Linked DNA regions of Diceros bicornis minor. Each later gene encodes a partner of the first gene's protein in a complex. Links are inferred from orthologs where the notes say so. Each region holds a gene or a part of one and is shown on either strand. Other genes may lie near its edges.

The links. The genes of interacting proteins can lie anywhere in the genome.
Region 2: EIF3I (region 1) and EIF3F share a complex: the UniProt entries of both Homo sapiens proteins name them as parts of the eukaryotic translation initiation factor 3 (eIF-3) complex. The link is inferred for Diceros bicornis minor from reciprocal best matches to the Homo sapiens genes EIF3I and EIF3F.

What each region holds. Positions count from the first base shown.
Region 1 is NC_080752.1:47,009,018-47,016,839, reverse strand, and holds the start of EIF3I (eukaryotic translation initiation factor 3 subunit I), read right to left. Parts: upstream 3,008-7,822; 5' UTR 2,967-3,007; coding exon of another isoform or gene 2,938-2,966; coding exon 2,935-2,937; coding exon of another isoform or gene 2,842-2,934; coding exon 2,749-2,841; intron 1,233-2,748; coding exon 1,145-1,232; intron 839-1,144; coding exon 773-838; intron 1-772. Other genes in the region: TMEM234 (transmembrane protein 234), read left to right, coding at 2,807-2,966, 3,419-3,570, 4,352-4,418, 7,170-7,262, 7,542-7,636. UniProt on the Homo sapiens protein: Component of the eukaryotic translation initiation factor 3 (eIF-3) complex, which is required for several steps in the initiation of protein synthesis.
Region 2 is NC_080746.1:66,883,313-66,891,321, forward strand, and holds the start of EIF3F (eukaryotic translation initiation factor 3 subunit F), read left to right. Parts: upstream 1-5,006; 5' UTR 5,007-5,021; coding exon 5,022-5,400; intron 5,401-8,009. UniProt on the Homo sapiens protein: Component of the eukaryotic translation initiation factor 3 (eIF-3) complex, which is required for several steps in the initiation of protein synthesis.

The DNA.
Region 1 (7,822 bases):
TCGTGCTAATGGAGCACTGCTCACAGTGGACTGCAATATACCTGTTTCCCCCTCGGAATATGCTCCTTCACAGCAAACACCCGCTCTAATTTCCCTGTGTCCCCAGCGCCCAGCCTAGACCTGGCACAAAATTGGGGACTCGGTAAATATTTACTATATGGAGCAGCTTTCATAGGCTCCCCCGTCTTTAGTTGCAGTTCTTTCCCCACTGCTACCTGAGCTTGCTAAAACTAAACACAGACCACCACTCTTCCCTGCTCAGCAACCTCCACAGCATGCCACGTCCTACAGAACAAAGCCAAGCTCCTGAGTTTGGCACTCAAGGCCTGTTCTGGCCCTAGCCTGCTTCATCTTCTCCACTGACTATTTCATCCCTCAAGCGGGAACTCCTGCCAGATCATATGACCTGGACACGACACTTGCCATGCTTTCATTCCTGCATGTGCCAAAGTGATGACCTCTTTCTCATCCTTTAAGCCCCAGCTCATATGACATTTACCTTGGGAAACCTTTCGGGCTGCTCCCATCCCCCTGCCAGGCAGTCAGTCGCTTCTCTCTGGCCTTCCACCGAGCTCTATGCTTCCTCTCACATGGCTCATTATCTTCCTGCAGTGCCTCTTTTCTCATCTGTCTTCCTTATTTTCTTATCTGTCTCTTGTTCCCTAGGCTAGGAACCATCTCTGGATTTATTTCTATTTCCCCAGAACCTGTTCACTTAAACAGTACACTGTAGGTCCCCACTGTGCTGAAAAAGTGAATAGCCCAGGCTTACCTGTTTCACAGTCCCAGAGACGACAGCTGTTGTCAGCTGAGCCAGTGAGGACATGCTTGGTGTCCCCTGAAGAGGGTGTTAAGAAACATGACTGAGTTCACCTGAGCCCTTGTCCTCTTGGGAGCCAACTCAATCATCTCCCTTTTCAGCCCCAAAGAGCTTTTCTTCTTCTCTCTTACCTCAGAGGTTTCTCACCTCCTCATCTAGAACTGGAACTTGTCCTGAATCTTCCCCCAATCAGTGAACAAAGGGAGTAGGAGGCTTCATTATCTAGACCCACAAGAGCATCCCAAACTCCCAACCTCCAACTCAGCAGCTTTTCCATTGCTGGCAGACCCTGGGAGCATAGACTCAGGGCCAAGACAAGGATACAGTCAGCGTCCACACACCACACAGCTCCAGTATGGCCCATGTAGGTGCCCAGCCTCTCACCATTCACGGAGTACCATACATTGACAATCTGGAGGGGTCAACGACAATGTGACAGGATGGTACACAACCCAGGCAGAGCAATAGCCTCCTATTTTGCCCCAGGAACCCTCACCAGCCTCTAGCCAGGCCAGATTCTGCTCTCTCCTGCTCATCTCTTGGGAAACAGCAGGTTGCTGGTAAAAAGACCAACTCCTGGATTCTCCTCCTTCCTACAGGTAAGCGGCAGAGGAGTCAGGAGGCTTGCAAAAATGTCTCCATCTGCCACTGTCCCAGCCCTCCCCCAGACTCCTAAGCCCTCAGAAGAATAAAAGGTCAAGTTGAGTGCCAGTCCAGAAAAACAGTAGCTTTGGTGTCCTGTCCAAGTGGGAGTACTTGGTAGTAGGGAAGCCTGGGGAGTCCTTGCTCTGCCACAATCTCACTGTATTATCTCAGATACAGTGCTTTTCCCCTCTGAACTTCAGTTTGCCTATCTGTAAAATAGCCATGACAATAATGCCATTTTCAAAGGGTAGCTGTGAGGCTCCAATAAAATGATTAAGGAATTTAAAATATAGGTGACTAACATTAATTAGGCACTCATACGCACCAGGTGCTAAGCTCCTTACTTGAATGATCTCATTTAATCCTAAAGACAATGCCATGGAGGAGGTACTATCAGTACCCATATTTTATAAAAAGGGAAACTTGAAGTTTATAATTTTATTTATTTATTTATTTTTCCCCAAAGCCCCAGTAGATAGTTGTATGCCATAGCTGCACATCCTTCTAGTTGCTGTACATGGGACACGGCCTCAGCATGGCCGGAGAAGCGGTGCCTCGGTGCGCGCCCGGGGTCCGAACCCTGGCTGCCAGCAGCGGAGCGCGCGCACTTAACTGCTAAGCCACGGGGCCGCCCCAAAACTTGAAGTTTAGAAAGGTTAAATGACACACTCAAAGTCACATTGCTAGTGGATGCAGGGGTCAGGATTCAAATCAGGCGTTTGGCTTCCGCATCCCCACTTTTACCATTAGAGTTAACTTCATCCATGGGGAGGTGCCTCAAAAGGCGGTGCTGTGAGGGCCTGTTTACAATCAGTGAATGGCAGGATGGGGCCCAGAAGGACTGACTGAAATGAGACCAAGGACACCTTTATTAAGTCCTCTGTGTCCCTCACCACCCAAACATCAGCTTTCCCCTTCTAGAGGTGGCTTGTTCCCCTCTCCAGGTAGAATAGTTTTGTTCTCCCCCAGAGTGGTCTCCTCCTGGTCCCCTGAACGAGCTGACCCTTGTCCCCGTCCTCCTTCCACAATGGTCTCTTGCTTTTCTTCTCCCCGGCTACTCCCTCTTTCTACCAACAACTGAGTTCTTTCCCACCTTTCCTGGTAGAATGCTCTCTCCTACCTACCCCCAGGATGGTCTCTCCTTACTTCTCAGAATAGGGCGCTCTTTGGTTCCCCTCTTGCGGCAAAACTCGCTTGTCCACCCATCGCCCTCCAGAATGAACGCGCCCCCTCCAGAGGCCCTCCGCATGATCCCGCCAGCCCGCCCTCCAGCCGAGGCTCACAGGGTCCTTGGCCACCGTGAAGAGGAGGTCTCCCTCGCGGTTGTACTTAATCTGCGTAATGGACCGCTCATGGCCCTGGAGAAGGATCGGCTTCTGTGGGGACAGGACGGGAGAGTCAGCGCCCAGAACCGGCCCCTGTCCAGACCCGGACCCCCAGGGCAACACCTCCAACTCAGGGGAACTTACCATCGCAGCGGTGACGCGAGGAGAGCGGCAACGTGAGTAGAACCGGAAGAGGCTTTGCAGCGGCTTCCGGATTATGGGTCCCCGCCCCTTCGTTCCCGGAAGTGGAAGGGAGCGGCGTTGCCATGGCGGCGTCTCTCGGTGGGTAAGGCGCCCCGCCCCACCATGGCTTACCGCCCGTCTACGGCCTTCAGTTTCCACCTCTGGAGTTCGCTTCCTACTCCACGTCCACCTCCACCTCCACCTCACCCCGACTCTTGCTACAGCCCCAAGCCCCGGGCTCCTGGATTCATCTCCCCGGCCTTCCGGGGTCTGTCCTACCCGCGAATCGCACCCGCAGCGTCGGAGAGCGAAGGAGGGAGGTGGGGGAGGCTAGCTGGGCATAGGAGGCCGGGAGAGGGCCGGCCGGGATGGGAGGCCGGATGAGGGCTGGGCCCGGCGGGCGGCCATTTGGGGGTAGGGAGGGGTCACTCGCATCTCCATCCAGGGCAGGTACTGGCCTTGGTGCTGGTGGCCGCTCTGTGGGGTGGCACACAACCGCTGCTCAAGCGGGCCTCCTCCGGCCTGCAGCAGGTTCATGAGCAGACCTGGGCCCGGCAGTTGCTGCAGGAGATGAAGACTCTCTTCTTGAATACTGAGGTGCGTCTGTGAATGGCCCCTCTCTCGGGGATAGTGGCTAAGAGTTTAGTCTCCTGAGTCAAACAAGTCTGGGTTAGAATCTACACCCCACCACTTACTCGCTAGAAGCTCATGGACAAGTTACTTGTTCTTCTTGAGACTCAGTTTCATCATCTGTAAAATGGGAATTATAATGGTAACCATTTTATAGGGCAGTTGTGAGGATTAAGTGAAGTGAGTTACAGGGCCTAGTACATAAGTAGTGCTCAGCCTATGGCTGCTATTATTAATATTTTATTATTGTGATCCCTCCAGTAGACCTTTCCAGAGCGAGGGCTTGGGGCCCAAACTGGCCCTGGGGAGGGAGTTTAAGGAAGGATATGGAGAACTCCCTCTGACCCCAACACTGCCAGTCTAGGCTAGTGGAAAAGACAAGACATGGACACAACCACCTCTCAGGGCTAAGGGGTATGAGAGAGGTACAGATAGTTCAGAGGAGGGAGGCTGGAGTTAGGGGACTTGGGAAAAGCTTCCTGGAGGGAGTGACATTGGCACTCAGGGACTTGCAGGATAGGGGGTATGGGAACTAGGAGGGCTGAGGGAGGGGGCATTCAGGACAAAGGCATGGAGTTCAGTCAGTAACTTTCCCTCTGCCCTGGAAGGGTCCTTTTCAGAAGGCTCAGTGCTCCCTGGGCCCTTATAGCTACCCCTCCCTCCAAGGAAAGGCATATCCAGAAGCTCAAAGTAGACAGTGCTGCTCAGTCAAGCAATCACACTGACTACAGATTTCTTCTGTTTTCAGTACCTGATGCCGTTTTTCCTAAACCAGTGTGGTTCCCTTCTCTACTACCTCACCTTGGCATCAACAGGTGGGTCTCTGGCTTAGAACTGCTATGCTTAGTGGTGGAGGCCACCTGGAAGAGTCACTTTGGGGAGGGAGCCTGAAGCACCTTGTTCCCATGGGTGAGGGAGAGCCCACTGCCTCTGGTTCCCTGTGCACCGCCTTCTCTGAGCAGAAGGAGCACAGGGGGCTGGTTGTGAGTATGCTGCCAGGCACTAGGCTTGGTTTGAAGCCTGGCAGTCTTGTGCAGCAGCAGAGGAAGAAGGAGGGTTCACTTTGCTGTGTCAAGGGCTGGCTTTGATGCTCTTGCTTCCACTGCATGCTACCTGCTTGACCTTGAGCAAGTCCCTCATGTGAACCTTGGTTTTATACGACTGGCTTCATAGCATTGAGAGGATTAAATTCAGTGTATGAGAAGCATCTAGCAGAGTACCTGGTGCACACTGTAGGAGCCCAATAAATATAAATTTCCTTTCCCCCATTGTTTGTTGACTGCCCTCTACTGCATCAGATACTGTGCTAGTTTTACACATTTTATTTAATTCTCATCGTGACCCTGTGAAGGACACATGATTATCTCCATTTAGGAGATGAAGTTACAAAACTTTGGGCAACTTATTTCATCTCTCTTAAGTCCCACAGCATGTCAGTGCAGAAGGGTTTGAAGCCATGTATTACTTAAAGTTTATGCTCTTTAACTTTGCTATGAGAAGTCTCCCTGTGGTGGCTTCACCTCCTCTGGAGTCTCACCCAGGCCCTCTGGGGACTTGAAGGGAGTTTGGGCCCCAGATAGCTCTGGGGAACCTCTCAGGCCATGGGTGGGCAAGGGGATAGGCCAGTCTCCAGACCTGCTGTGTCAGCTTCAACTAGAGTCACTCCACTTTCATCTGTTTTACATTTTGGGCTTCTCATAAGACTTCATTTAAAAGAAAGTTTAAGGGCTGGCCCAGTGGTGTAGTGGTTAAGTTCGTGCACTCTGCTTCAGTGGCCTGGGGTTTGTGGGTTCGGATCCAGGGCACAGACCTATGCAGCACTCATCAAGCCATGCTGTGGCGGCATCCCACATACAAAATAGAGGAAGATGGGCACAGACGTTAGCTCAGGGCTAATCTTCCTCAGCAAAAAAAAAGAAAAAAGAAAGTTTGAAAGACTTGGGCACTCCCTGCTACCCAAGAATGCTGAACCCTCTGGCCAGCTGACTGCGGTTGGCCATTTACCAAGTTTTGGGCAAATGGCAATTTTATGATCCTGTTATCTCATCACCTACTCTGCCTCTATCCTTTAACATCCACCCATTCTAATAATCAGAACAATGGTTACTATTTATTAAGCATCTACTTCAGCCAGGGACTATACAGGCATTGTCATATTTCATCTTGCAACAACCCTGTTGTAAGTAGATGCTGTTATCTTGCTATCACTGTTTTACACGTGGGGAGCGGGCTCCGAGTGTTTGAATGAGCTAACCGAGACTACACAGGGACACCCAGCTCTGCCTCTCCAGTGCCCTTGCTCTTCCAGTGCAGCATGCTGCTTCCCTCCCCCATCTACCATTGTAACCCAGTCTTTAGCAGCCATGGCATTTGTTGTAAGGCATGTAAGCTTAAGGAAGCAGGTCTGAGTAGTAGGAGTTGTGTCAGTTTCTTGGATGGGTAATGCCAGCCATGGTAGGGCCTCACAGGGGATGAGGAGTGGGACAATTCTCGCCTCCACTCACTACCTGAAACAGGTGAGGCCTGGGAGTGCTGGGAAAGAACTTCTTGAGGAGCCAACATGAGCATCCTGGTCTCGCTGGCAGTTAGGAGTTTTGTAAACAAGTAACTCAGCTTCTGATTTATCCATTAGTTTTTTTTTTTTTTTTTCGTATGTGTGTGGTAAGAACACTTAACATGAGATCTACCCTCTTAACAAATTTTAAGTGTATAAAATTTAAGTGTAACACATTTTAAGTTAACAGAGTTGTTAAGTCTGTTAGTCTTTTTCAAGTCTGTTTATTGGGAGTCAGTCACTCGGAGCTTCAAGACTAAGGAGCAGATCCTGGGCTCTGGTGGCCTCTCCCTAAGGCCCAGCCCTGTGGGGCCTGTCCTGAACAGGTACCCGGCCTCCTCCTTCTAACATTCTTTTTTCGTCTTTAACTCCATAAGGCCCAAGCCTGAGCTGAAACAGAAACAAACTGTGCTTCTCCTTCTCTTTTGGTTTGTCCATATCCATTTAATTCGATAAGGGCACAGGCTTGGGAGTCAGGCAGACCTTGGTTTAAATCCTCAATTTGCCTCAATTTATGTGACTTCTTTGAGCCTTTGTTTCCTTTATCGATGCAAAATGATGACAGTGCTGTTCTTGCAGTGTTGTTGTGAAGAGTCAATGAGACATGGACACAAAGCGCCCAGCACAGAATATGTGCTTAGTATGAACAGTGGCTGTGCTTCGTGTCACTGCACTCATTCTGCTGCATCCTTTGGGCTTTGGGTGCCTGTCTGTCCAGATGTGCTTGAGATCTCAGGAGCTCTCTTTGAGTGCAAAGACCTCATCCTTAGCAGCAAACCAGGGTGGTTCCAGACTTTGTAGTTCAGATTTTCATGCTGGAATCTTGAGGGAACATGGAATTTGGAGTTAGGAGACCTGGCTTTGAATCCTGAGCTTGGCTGTGACTTCGTCTGGGAAATGGAGTCCTGAGATACCGTTTTTTAAAAGGCTGTCTTGATGATGAAATGAAAGTGTTTTGTGCTTCGAAAGGCATTTTTGCATCTCAGAGATTCTTTTCATTCTGCTCACTCAGATCTGACCCTAGCTGTGCCCATCAGCAACTCTCTGGCCATCGTCTTCACACTGATTGTTGGGAAGGTCCTTGGAGAAGATATTGGTGGAGAACGTAAGTCGGGCCACTGCAAGTGTGGGAAGCAGCTACTTGGGCCTTGATACCCCTGTTTTGGTTCTTTCTCAAAGCCATGTCCCATGGGTGGGGGAGGAGAGGACCTTCTCCGATCCTGCCCCTTTCCTCTGCAGCTCTCCTGCTTCCTTGGGGCCATCAGAGTTCCCTTCCCCTGGACAGTCTGGGGACACACCCCATCTAAGCCCTTCCCTCAGCCCTGTACCAGCTCCTGCTGGCATGGCTGGGCTCAGAGCCTCTTATTTCTGCCCATTACCGCAGGAGCATTCGCAGGCATTGTGCTCACCGTGGCAGGAATCACCCTCTGCATCACAAGCTCAGTGAGCAAGACCCAGGGGCAACCATCTACCCTTTGAGTGGGCCGACACCACCCTCCAGCTCTACTGTCTCCAGGAAGCCCTCGTGCCATGAGGTGCAGGCTGTGAGCAGATGGACCTAGCACGTCCCCGCTCTGAGCTTCCGCTTCCTCATCTCTTATGGGAATAACAGCTACCTCATGGATCACAATAAGAGAACAAGACTGAAAGGATTTTGTAACTTTC
Region 2 (8,009 bases), on another chromosome or scaffold:
AAATTTTGCAAATATATTCTCCAAGTTTATGGCTTTTCCTTTCTTTATTTTTTTATTAATTTCTTTCTTTACTTTTCTTCATTTTTTCTACATTTTTCTTTAGAAAATCTTTATTATTTTCTTTAAGCTGTCTTTTGAAAAACCAATCCTAGTTTTAGTGTAGCCAACTTTGTCAGTGCTGTCTTTTACAGTTAGGGCTTTTGGGGTTTTATTTAAGAAATACTTTCTATTTGAATGTCAGAGAGATAGACATCTACCTCTGTATATTTTAATGTGTTTAAGGTATTGTTCTAACCTCTTAGTCTAGCAGGAATTTTTTAATTCTATTTTTTGAATTGTCCTTCCTTTCCCCATTAATCTGCCATGATACTTTTTTATATATCAAAGTGTCATAAATGCCTAGTACAGTTTCTGGCTCTTTTTTATTGTTGTTCCATTTCATCTATTCTGCACCAATACAATGATTTACTAATTACTATATCTCCAGTTTTAAAAGGTCTTGAAATCTGGTAGAGCAGGTCCAATATTATGTTTTAATTACTACAGTTTTAGGATATGTCTCAATGTTTGATAGCACAGGATCTCCCTCCCATTCTGCCATCTTTTTCATGAAAACCGTGTTGGCTATTCTCGGCCCTTTGCTTTTTCCTATACGTTTTAGAACACGTTTGTAAAATTTGACGGATTTAGATTGCATTGACTCTAAAGGTTTATTAGAGGTGAATTGACGTCTTGGTGATATTAAGTTTTCCTATTTGTGATCATGGATTATAATTTATTTAGGTCTTATTTAATGCATTTCTGTAAAGTTTTATAATTTTCTATGTATGGGTCTTGCACATATTTTGTTGTTTATATTTTTGTTGCTTTTGTAAATGGTGTACTTATAATGACATTTTCTAATTTTTTATTGTTGATGCATAGAAGAGCAATAGCTTGTTCATCTGTCAGATCTATCCACCTATTGTTTTAATAATTTATCTATGAATTGAATTCTTTTGGGTTTTCTATGCAGGTAACCATTATTTGCAGAAAATGGCTTTTACTTTCTCATTCCTAATCCTTATGCCTTTGATTGTTTTCCTTTTTCGGACTGTGCTGGCTGGGACTCTGGTTAAATGTTGAATTAAAGTGGTGATAGCAGCCATGCTTGTCTTGTTCCTGATTTTAAAGGGAATACCTCTTCTAATGTTCTTAGGTGCTGGCGACGAGCAGAGACAAACTGTGGGAGGCAGCCCACCAGCCTGCCTGTGCCAGGCCCGGTCTGCAGAAGGACGGGGCCATGGTTCCTGCACAGCTCTGCCCCATCAGGGAAGGCTGAGTTAAGTCTCAAGTTCCAGTTGCTACAGAGTCAAGAGAGCCTGGGGCTCCCCCTTGTGGTCCTCCTATAGTTGCAGCTGTAGCTGGGGCTCCCTTCACTCCAACCATCGTTGAGGAGGTGGGATGGGTTTATCAAGCTGCAGGCCCCATCTTTAACATGAGCCTACAGTTATGACCCTGGTCTTTTCAGGCAGGACTATCAAGCTTGTTCCCCAGGACAGTCAGAAACCCAGATGTGACGGTGAATTTTATGTGTCAACTTGACAGGGGTGCAGGGTCCCCAGATATTTGGTCAAACAGTATTCTGAGTGTGTCTATGAGGGTGCTTTTGGATGAGTTTAACATTTAAATTGATAGACTGAGTAAAGCAGATTGCTCTCCCTAATACGGGTGGGCCTCATCCAATCAATTGAAGGCCTGAAGAGAACAAAAGGGCTGACCCTCCCTTGAATAAGAGGGAACTCCTCCTGCCTGATTGCTTGAACAGGACACCGGTCTTTTCTAGCCTTCAGACTCAAACTGAAACATCAGCTCTCCCTGGGTCTTGAGCCTGCCTCTAGTCCGTCAGACTAGAACTATATATTGGCTCTCCTGGGTCTCCAGCTTGCTGACTAAAGATCTTGGGACTTCTCAGCCTCCATAATCATGTGAGCCAATTCCTTATTTATTTATATATATATATATATATATATATTTATCCTGTCAGTTCCTCTGCAGAACTCTGACCAATACACCATGTACACAACACATTTTCCAAATACAAGGGGACAGCCCATTTTCTCTCTCCCCATGCCTTCTGCCCTTTCCTGATGAATCTGGGCCCCAGAGTTTCATTTATAGGGTTCAGCCTGCCTGGATCCCTCAGTCAGCCATTGAAAAGCGAACATCCTGGATGTATGCACTCCCTTGTCCTGGCCAGTCAGCATGCCTAGGAAGACCATGCCAAAGATCTCTCTCCTCCTGCCCCTGAGCAATGTGGCTGGAGAAACATACAAGAGCTGACCAGATCCTTGAGGTCTCCAGGCTCAGCTGGGCCCTCTCATAATTGATCAATGCCTTTGATGGCTCACTCTTGGCCCCTCTTCCAAATGCTGTCCATTGTCCCAAAGCTGAACCCCACCCTTGCATTGCCATTCTCAGCAGATCACTCTGCCTCCACCTCCCTGAGAAAAATATCAATTGACAAGAGCTCCTGCAACTTCCCTTCTCTCCCCAATTCAAAGTGTCTCCGATTCTTCATCCATCCCTTTCTCCTTTCCTCCCAGAGAGAAAGGTCTTTAGGCCATCTATATAAAGGCAAAGTTCTTGGTGGTGAAGTGTCCACATCCAACTCAAATCAACACATGGATAGGCATTCCAAGGGTGTGTATGGTCAGTTTGGGATGGCAACACCTATTCCTAAGGGGTGATTCTCTCCTCTGGCCTTCTTTCCATAGGATGATCTCACGGGACCAGCCCTGGCTAAAGGAGACCCCCACTAGGAACCCACAAGGGAGGCCACAGCCCAGGGCAGCCTCTGCAGCATATCCTCCATCCTGTGCAAGACCATCCCTCTCATCTAGGCTTCTCCATTCAGGTCCTCCTTCCTGCCTTGTTTCATTAGACAGTTTCCCTAGCTCACACTTGTATATTCAATCTTTCTCTCTCCTCTAGATCCTTACCCTTAGCTTAAAATATACTAAAAACTCTCCCAGCCACAACTGTCCCCCTCTCAATCTTGCCGTTCCCCCAGCTACTGCCTTAAATGTCTCCTTTCCTTCCCAGGCAACTTCCTTGAGAGAGTAGCCAGCACTCACTGCCATCATTTCAAGCTGGCCATTCTCTCACACCTGAATTCTGGTTTCCGTGTCCACTCCACCCTCAATTCCACTGACACTGCTCTACTAGTGCTGGTAAAAATCCAGGTCATCAAATCCAAGAGTCATTATTCAATCCTCCTCTGATAGGCGGTTCACTTGTGTTTGGGGGAATTAAAAGAGAGAATGTCTACCCAGTGCACTAACAGGGGAACAGTATCATGTGAATTCTGATTATGGAAGGGAGCTCCAAGGAGAAAGCAGTTCTTGGACATAAGAGTCAAGGCTAAGAAGTTCAACCTCACCACCGACCTGGCCAGCTGGATGCTGGGATTTGACCTAAGTAAGGGAGTTGACAGGTTTCCTGACAGGCAAATGTTAACATCCCCATTATACCAAGAAGGAAGCTGAGGCTCAGAAAAAAATTATCAATTGCCCAAAATTACACAAGGAGTGAGGCTCAGAGCTCCTTCTATCACATCGTACTAATAATAGCTACCACTTAACAATAACAAATGCTGTATATCAGGCATATGCTAAGAGCTTTACAGAGCATTACTCAGTTAATCGTCTCCCAAAGTACAGACTAGAATCTCTACCTGACCACTCTACAGTTCTGTTTGGATGTCTAATGAGATGCCCGATCTCAAGGGTGACACATCCAACAATGAACTTGGGATCTTTTCCCAAAAACCTGCTCCACTTGTAGCTTTCACTATCTCAACTGATGGCAACTTCTTGATACTAGTTGCTCAGCACAAAACACTGGAGTCATTCTTGACTCCTCTTTTTCACACCTCGCATACAACTTCTCAGAAAATCCTGTTGTCTCTACCCTCAAAGTATGGCCGTAATCTGCCCACTTCTCACCACTTCCACTGCCGCTGGCCTGGTCCCAACCACCATCACCTCTCACTTAGGCTTCCTGGGAATCTCCATGCATGTCTCCCTGCTCTTTCTCTCTCACCTCCCTCTCTCCAATAACCGCCCCTCCATTCTATTCTTCTCTAAGCAGTCAGAGTGATCCTTTTAAAACTAAGATCAGGATTCTCCCCTGCTCACAACCCTGCAGTGGCTCCCCATCTCACTCAGACTAAAAGCCAAAGTCCTTACTGTGGCCTAGGAGGTCTTTAATGATCTGCTCCCTGACCCCTATGTAGAGGTCCATCTCTTGCTGCTCCGGGCCTTGCTCCTAACACTCCAGCCACCCCATAGCCTCCTCAAGCACACCAGGCCTGCTCCTTAGCTGTGCCCTCTACCTGGAGGCTCTCCCCGTCCCCCAACAATGGCCGCCTCCTTCGCCTCCTTCAAGTCCACTCATATTCTCTGCTACTTTTTCCTTTTTCACAGCACTTATCACCTTCTAACTTATTATATAATGTACTCATTTGTCTCTCCCCGTTAGAATGTAAACTCTTCTGGGGCAACGATATTTGTTTTATTAGCAGATATATCCCGAACGCCTAAAAGAGCGTCTGGCACAGATTCAAATTGTTGAATGAATAAACCACCATACTGACACCTTATGACGCTGTCAAGAACAAAGTCCTTTAAAAGGCATTTTGACATCCACTATTTTCCCACTGAAATCTGAGAACAGGAATTGCGACCCTTGCGCTGCTCTCCGGCTCCGTGGGGCGGCGGCAGCACAGACAGAATTGTTTCTCTTCTCCAACCGCGGGCCCAAGTTTACTCGGAACTATTTAGCTTGTTTCTCACTGAGTGCCTATCGGACCAAAGTCAAAGAGCACAAACTAAGAGCAGGAAATTGTAGTGCCGTGAGAAGCATCATCAGTAACCAATAGGCACAAAGATCTAGTTCACGTGGTGCGTTTTCAGCCTATCGTGTGCCTAATATTCCCTAACTCGCTCCCTTCCGCTCCCGGCTCTTTCTCTCTCGACAAGATGGCCACACCGACAGTACCGGCGAGTGCTTCTCCCGCCACTCAAGCCCCTTCCCCAGCTGCGGCCCCAGCCCCGGCGTCAGCCCCAGCCCCAGCCTCCCCCTCAGCTCCGGCTGCGCCGCCGGCTCCAGCTCCATCGCCGGCTCCAGCCTCATCCTCAGACCCGGCGGCGGCGGCTGGGACCGCGGCCCCGGGACAGACCCCGGCCTCAGCGCCAGCCCCCGCGCAGACGCCGGCGCAGTCGCTGCCCGGGCCTGCGCTCCCAGGCCCCTTCCCCGGCGGCCGCGTGGTCCGGCTGCACCCCGTCATTTTGGCCTCCATCGTGGACAGCTACGAGCGACGCAACGAGGGCGCTGCCCGAGTCATCGGGACCCTGCTGGGTGAGTGGTCAGGGTAATCGACGTTCTCTTCTATCTCCCACGGCCTTTTGTCTTGCTCACCTCTCTTCCCATTCCTACTGACCTCTTACTGTTTCTCTATCTCACCTTCCTGCTGCGACTTAACTCCCCAAGGAACTTGAACTTTCCTGCCCGATTGCTGTCACTTTGGGCGACATAAAATACGTAAAGAGTAGTTGGTTATTGAATAAATATCTATAAGTGTGCCGAGTGACGTAGGTTTTATTTTTGATCTTCACGACAGCATTTCACGTCAGTTGTAATTAGTGCCAGTTCACCGCGAATGAGTTCAGGCGCAGACTAGGAAGTCAAAACCTCTGGCTCCCTAAGCCCAGAGACCACGTTTTCCCCCCTTATCTAGTGACTAAATGTCTTTATTTTCCAGTTGTTTACAAAGAAGTTTCTAACCGGTTGGCAAAGGAGTGGGGCATCTGTAAAAAGATAACCCTCTCAACAAGTAAATTTGTTTGGCAGGATCCCATTTAGGATTTCAGTAGTATTCTGCTTTCCTAAACATCTTAGCCTGATCCTCTGTTCCTTACTAGTTCCTAATGCCGGAGACCCTGTTTCCCCAGTCCGTCTCTAATTCTCTGTTTGGACACAAACGATTGTATTATCTGTTTATGATATTGTTTAACCTTCAGATGGAAGAATAACTTTTTCCCTGTCGAAGTTCCAAATTTGGAGTATACATATCTTAAAGTAATTTGTAAAACTGAGAAGCGCTGAAACGGAATTACTGATATATCTCTTTCTTTGGGGACTGCTGATCTCATCAAATTCATTTTCACTCCATCTTAGTTACAGATTTTAAACACCTTTGTGAATCCACTCCACTCCCATGCATTATTTCTCTTTCTAACTCTTGAACGTGTACTAGTCCTTCCAGCTTAGAAGAAAATTGATGTTTTGCAAAAAGGACCAAATTGGTAGGCAGCCTCCACCACATATTAGCCACGTGCCTTGGGACAGATTACCTAAAGTCTAGTTCCTTCAGGGGCTACTTTAGACTTAGTTCTCACAAAGACTAAGTTATTACAGAAAGCATCTAACTGTGCTGGCACACATTAAGTGTAAAACCGCCGTTGGTTGCCGTCCTCCACATCAGGCCTATACCAGCCCTAACACATGCATACATTCTTCCTCTCTTTATCTTTGAGGGTGTAGCATTTTCCAGAAACTTCAAATGATCCATTATCTTCCAAACATTGCCACGGTTTCTCTCACACCAAGCCTCTGTATTCTCTTTGCCACAAGTGCCTTGCCTGCTCACCCTCATTTGTTTAAGTTCCACTCATCTTCCAGGTTCCCAGGATGAGTGTTCAGTATCAGTCCTCCATCCCAGACCCCTGCCCCAACCCCCATTCTTGGTTATTTTTGGTTTTCTTTTTTGTAAGGCAGATCAGCCCTGAGCTAACATCCGATGCCCATCCTCCTCTTTTTGCTGAGGAAGACTGGCCCTGGGCTAACATCCGTGCCCATCTTCCTCTACTTTATATGGGACGCCACCACAGCATGGCTTGACAAGCGGTGCGTCAGTCCACACCCAGGATCCAAACCTGCGAACCCTGGGCCGCTGAAGCGGAGCACGCACGCTTAACCGCTACACCACTGGGCTGGCCCCCACCTCACCCCCATTCTTAACCTCTGTGACTGCCCTGCTTTGAGCTTCTGTAACAGATGATTTTTGCATCACTGGCTTGGCACTAGACAAATACTAATTTAGTCTTTCAGCTGTACCCTCAAAGTTTCCAGACTCACTGGAGCTGATTAAAGAAACAGTTCTCCAACCGAGGTTTGTGCTGTGTGCCCCAAATATGCCAGTGACCCTAGTTAGACCAACTGTGATCTAGATGTTTAGATCCTCTTCCAGATTGGGATCACGGTACAGTGCTTGGTGTTATTGAGGCAGTACTTACTGAAGAATGAAGCATAGATTCTGCTTACCAGGAACTTAACGAAAGCAAAGGAACGCTTACAAAGCATTCCTAGATTTGCTTGCTAAGAACTTAAATTTTCTCAGTTAGACATTAATTCATAAAACATATTTCATTTGGTTAATTGAAGTCACTGATACCTTTTATGTACCATAAAACTGTTAGGTACTTAGAATTCAAAGTTTGATAAAACAAACTCTAACCTTAAACTCAAGATGAAGATATACTCATATGCAGCTAATTAGAACATAATGTGATAAATGCTGTAACAGAGGAGTGTCATAGTGGCATGGAAACTCAGAAGACTTAACTTTTTCAGGAGCTTGAAGTGCTCAAGTCTGTTGAATGCTGATGAGAGGTCAAAGAATGTGAATCCATTGGGTTTGGGGACATAGTTTCAGCTAAGCGGGCAAAAACCATAGTGAAGTGGAATTAAGCAGACACTGACAGTTATAGGCAACACTGTGGTCTGTGGTGGAGAGGGAAGCACTTGAAGCCTGGCGTGGGAGGTGCCAGTAGATTAGGAAAAAATGGAGAGGTCGAGGGACTAGTGGTCTTAGTGAGGTCAAGAAACAGATGTAGTGGGAGTAAAGGTATCAGAGCTGGAAGAACAGAAGGTTGTGGTAAGAGACTGACATTGATGTTTAAGGTTCA